2 linked regions of the Kluyveromyces lactis genome follow. The protein of the gene in region 1 binds, or shares a complex with, the protein of each later gene. Links are inferred from orthologs where the notes say so. Each region holds a gene or a part of one and is shown in the gene's direction. Other genes may lie near its edges.

Region 1 (2,708 bases):
GAAGAATTTGAGGCAAAGGGGATCAGGAACGTTGAATTAGAGCTCTACAATTCAAGGAAAAGGACGTCTTCTGAAGAAATAGAGCCTGTTTCGGAAGATTCCCCGGCCTTGGATATATTGAAAGACTTGAATGAATTGAAAAATCAGTTCAAAAAGATCAAACAAAGCAATGCCCCCATCTCCAACTGGCAAGAAGTCACCGAGTGGACGCCTAGACCATTTGGCGTTTTGTAATTAGTATAATTAAGCCTTTTAGATACATAAGACAAAGCAAGAAAGATTGACAGTTCTACAGGTTCTGCGATGATAACAGGATTGAAAATGGAAATGGATAATAACATATAAAAAGATCAGACATCCTAGGAAGGTCTCAATAAAGAGCGGTCACTGAAGAGTACTAACGATGGGTTCGTAGGCGTACTCCTACCGTGGAAACTGCGAATGTAAAGGAACCAATTTTCATCATATAAAAAAATGTTAAAATCCATAACGCACAATCATGTTCTTAGCTAAAAAGAAGAAGTGAAACGTTTTGAAGAAATAAATGCAACAGAAGATACGACGATGGATCTTGTTTCACTGTTACTTTGACCTTAAGAAAACTAAAAAGAGAAAACTCAGATGATCTAAATTGTACATGTCAAAGCATGTACTGGCTTAAAAAGTCGTTGCCCCGTAAGACAACAACATGGTAGACTCCCATATCGTCATGGTCGATATCGGACTGGGAAAGAAGTGTAGACCGTTTTCATCATCGTTAAATGTTTTGAAGTTCTTTCGTAAGGTATGAAGTAATAATGAATCCCACGTATATGCAAACTTTTACGTTTATTTCTTCATGGAAAAGGTCTCTTTTCCAAGCGTAACATAGACGAATCAGTGTTTCACGGCTGTGAAACACTGCTCCATCAAGGATACTATAAAGCTCACTTGCCAACAGCAAGTGAGGCTAGAGAACAACCTACAGAACTTTTCAATACCTAACCTGGATAAATGGTTTGATGAGTTTAACATGTCTAGTTTGTTTCTCATTACCAGCCTTTTTATATTCTTCGTGTCGAAGAAGCATGGAAAAAATTTTTGGAATAATTGCGTCGTTCGACATGATAATACAGTAAACCAAGTACTTAGGGCATCGATGTCATACCATTCAACGGGAATCATAGTATTAGTGATCCAATAAATGTTGCTCGAAGGCTGTTCAAGTCGGACATACCATTTCTCGATGGTTTGTGATGAACTGGAACAGATTTCATGAATACGATAGTTTGTTCCACGTGTTAACCACGTGCATTTTCCCGGGTAACGTCTAAAAAGAAAGAAAAGTCTTTCCCAAGATGAAAAAATTCGGTTTAAGCTCATCTCATCTCATTGCAGATTCAAATAGACACACAGAGGCAGATAAGTGAGGTTCTGTGTGGTCCTAGGGTTCCAATTACAGTTTAACTAGTTCAGGTGAGTTTTTGTTACACCCTTCCCTGTAATATTATTCCACTCGCAAAACGTTATAAGAAATATCTCAAACAATGGCCAAGGTCGACAAAACTCTTTCAAAGGAATACATCAGTGATAGCGACAGCGATAATGATGGATCATCAGAAACTGTAACGGACGTTTTCGTTCCACCTGAAAACTATAAGAAATGTACACATTTGAAATCATTCGTGAAGCCTAAGAACTTGAAGCAAAAAGAACTTTGGCTTATCAAACTTCCTAAATCTTTAGATGTCTCTAAGCTTTCGAAATTACCTATTGATTTCACAGCGGAGTCGGAAACTGGCATCGAACAAAAAGGTAAACATTTCTCTGTGAAGGAGGAAATCCAACAAGAAAATTCCACTTCTGGTGCATCTTCTTCTTCTGAATTGACATTATTGACTCCTGTAGATAAGACAAAGTTGACCGTCGATTCATCTGCATCAAGATCATTTGATAAGATCTTTACCATAAGCGAAACTGCAAAGATTCCAAGCATTGATTATTCTAAGGTAAGAGTGGATAGAAAGGATGTGTTGAAGGTTAAGGGTCTCAAGACTAGACATTTCGCAACTGGGTATTACGAGGATAAAGATTTGAAGAAAGTTAGCAAAAAAAAGAGAAAGCACGACTAGAGCACTCGTTCTGGTCTTTCTGTATATTATTTATATATAACGCACTGGTCATATTTTAATTTGGGTTATATGTAGAATACGTTCATTATAAAAAGTAGGTATCTTCATACCCTATCGGAATAATCTCTCAATATACCAGCCATATGTGTATTGGTAACTTTACCCTTTCTTGATCTACGTTTCTTGACCTCTTTCCTTGTGGTTTGCTCATTCTTGATCGTAGCAGGATCCACACTAGCAGGCTTGAGACCCAAATCTTGTAGTTTTCTTGGTAATTCACTACGCTGAGGTAGCTTACAAGCTTCCCACATCGTAACGAACTCTTCATCGATTTGCCTTGATGGACCAGCATGGTTATACCAGACAAACCTTGGAGAATTATCCTTCTTTGTCCGAAGAACAAGGATTCTGTTCTTTGCTTCTAACTCGTCGATTGTATCAAAACATTGTGGCCAACCATCTTTTAACTCTTTACATGATATACCCTTGAACGTCGCCTGTGATCTTAATAGTTGTAGCAATTCCTCCGCAGAATGCACATCGTAAATGGATACGTACTGTAAAGTGTTCCTCTTTGGGTCAAACTTGAATTTTTGT
Region 2 (2,472 bases), on another chromosome or scaffold:
TAAGAGTTTTATTATATATATATAAGAGTCATTTATTGTGTATATAATATGCATCACTGTAATTTTATAGCAAGAGCGAAGATCTTCAATAATCCAGATATTGAATCAAGGTTTAGTAGTTCAGGATAACAGATCAACATTCAAAACACATACACATAATTAAAAATGTTTAGAGGACAAATGTTTGCAGTACAGAGGATGGGAAGTGCACTAATGCACGGCGGTGGAGGCGGAACTAGAATAATCGGTGTAGCAGCTGCTAGAGCAACTGCTCCTACCGTCGGCTCTAGTCCTTCCATGGCCTCTGCTAGATTTTACCATCCAAAGGTCATTGATCATTATACAAACCCAAGAAATGTTGGGTCTCTAGACAAGAATTTGCCAAATGTTGGAACGGGTCTTGTCGGTGCCCCAGCTTGTGGTGATGTGATGAAATTGCAAATCCAAGTTAACGACGAAACAGGAGTGATAGAAAACGTTAAGTTCAAGACGTTCGGGTGCGGGTCTGCCATCGCTTCTTCTTCATACATGACCGAATTGGTCCGTGGGAAAACCTTGGAAGATGCAGCAAAGATTAAAAATACAGAAATCGCCAGAGAATTGAGTTTACCTCCGGTTAAATTGCATTGTTCTATGTTGGCTGAAGATGCCATCAAGGCTGCCATCAAGGATTACCAGGCTAAGAGACCTACAACACAGTTGAAATAGAGTGTTAGAGTTAAGAGTTAAATTAATTAGTTAATCTCTAATTTTCTTATTGCTTCTCCGGCTCAAACTTTCATTTGTCCATTGAATGGACTTTAGCATACTCGTCTTTCCCTTAATTCTTTTGGTTTGACTTACGATTTTCCCTCGCATTTTAACTCCACTACAAAGTTAAATCGAACACTATATTTTTCCGAATATATCATACAGTTTCTGAAAGCTATCTAGGAGAGCTAAATTCCAAGATTAGGTACTTCCATTTATCGTGCCTTATCAACTGCCCATGATTCGTAATTTTTTTTTTTTTTTGGCTACCCTTTTTTTTACAACAGTTGTTATCTAGTGTATAACTAACATGTAGGTTCATTCATCATTTGTATTATAATCATCCAGACTGTTCCGACAAGCGTTTCAACTAGTTGCAGAGTTGAGCGGACCGTCTCTCTGTATCCTGGATTCTTCGGACTTCTAAGGGATGGCAAATTGATTAGCGTTACCCGAAGTTGTTTCTTTTACCCGGACACATATTTTTTTCATGGGCAAGAAAAATCTTGAAAAATTTCGTTGTAACTCATCGCCTGAAGGAACAACTGAGAGACAGACAATCATATACATGTGATGCGCTTTCGATTCGGCTCACTGTAGATAGTCTCATATCAGCAGTGAAATTATTAGTTTGAAACCTTTCATACCCACTACAGACTCTCCGATAAGTTCCCTTCTTTTTCGTCTCTCATTTGTGTTCCTACTGGCCCACCGACTTTAATAACTAGAACCAACACAACAGTACTCTCATTTACCAACACACGTCATGTCATCGGCACTATTTGATGACGTTTTCACCGTTCAAGAAGTGGACACAGGAAGATACAACAAGGTCTCTCGTATTGAAGCTCAATCGACTTCACAAGAATCCTGTAAGTTAACATTGGATATCAACAGTGAATTGTTCCCAATAAAGACTCAAGATCAACTTGCAGTCATGATCACAACTTCTCTCCAACTTGACGGATCGGAGGAACCTCAGGGTACCTCTTGGAGAGCACCACCTGCTGGAACCAGATCTCTTGCAGATGATTATGACTATGTCATGTACGGAACTGCCTACAAATTCGAAGAAGTTAAGGGTAACAAGGATTTGCTTGCAGTATACTATTCATTTGGTGGCTTGTTGATGAGACTTGAGGGAAATTATAGACTTTTGAACAACTTGAAACAAGAAAACGCTTACTTATTGTGTCGTAAGTAAGAAATCTTGTGGGTACTATATATCATAGTCAAAATAGAAAACCGACAACTGTATAATAGACTTTCAGGTCAAAGCTCTGGTTCTTCACTCCTCCGGAAGCTACGGCCTTTACTTACACCTCTCCTCATATATTAATGCATTTTTAACTTTCCATCTTAGCTTCCTATCTTCAAACTGTTCTTACTTCCAGTCACCACAGCATAACGAAGTTGCTCTTTCTTTTGCTCGAGGATTCTTCAATTCTGTGCTTCTTTGTATAAGAGGAGATACCATAGAAACTGTTAAAGCCGTCTTTTTTCTCGAAAATAGAAAAGTTAGGATCCAATGACCTCAATAAATAGGGTTCGGCCATTGCCAGTTGATGGCAAAATATTCGAGACGGGCGTTGAAGGAGCATATTAGCAGTAGATATATAAATATAGAAGAAGGTCTATTTTGTTAGGTTACCCATATACAGGGGTTATTAGTGTTCAATCCATATTTTTTTTGATTCTTTGGCGATAGGCAAGGGTGCATTA

The links.
Region 2: RPA34 (region 1) and RPB8 share a complex: the UniProt entries of both Saccharomyces cerevisiae proteins name them as parts of the RNA polymerase I (Pol I) complex. The link is inferred for Kluyveromyces lactis from reciprocal best matches to the Saccharomyces cerevisiae genes RPA34 and RPB8.

Annotation. Positions count from the first base shown.
Region 1 is NC_006037.1:552,806-555,513, reverse strand, and holds RPA34 (DNA-directed RNA polymerase I subunit RPA34), read left to right. Parts: upstream 1-1,526; coding exon 1,527-2,111; downstream 2,112-2,708. Other genes in the region: rRNA-processing protein LAS1, read left to right, coding at 1-234; transcription factor TFIIE subunit TFA2, read right to left, coding at 2,216-2,708. UniProt on the Saccharomyces cerevisiae protein: DNA-dependent RNA polymerases catalyze the transcription of DNA into RNA using the four ribonucleoside triphosphates as substrates. Component of RNA polymerase I (Pol I) which synthesizes ribosomal RNA precursors.
Region 2 is NC_006040.1:610,584-613,055, reverse strand, and holds RPB8 (DNA-directed RNA polymerase core subunit RPB8), read left to right. Parts: upstream 1-1,516; coding exon 1,517-1,954; downstream 1,955-2,472. Other genes in the region: putative iron-binding protein ISU2, read left to right, coding at 166-708. UniProt on the Saccharomyces cerevisiae protein: DNA-dependent RNA polymerases catalyze the transcription. of DNA into RNA using the four ribonucleoside triphosphates as substrates.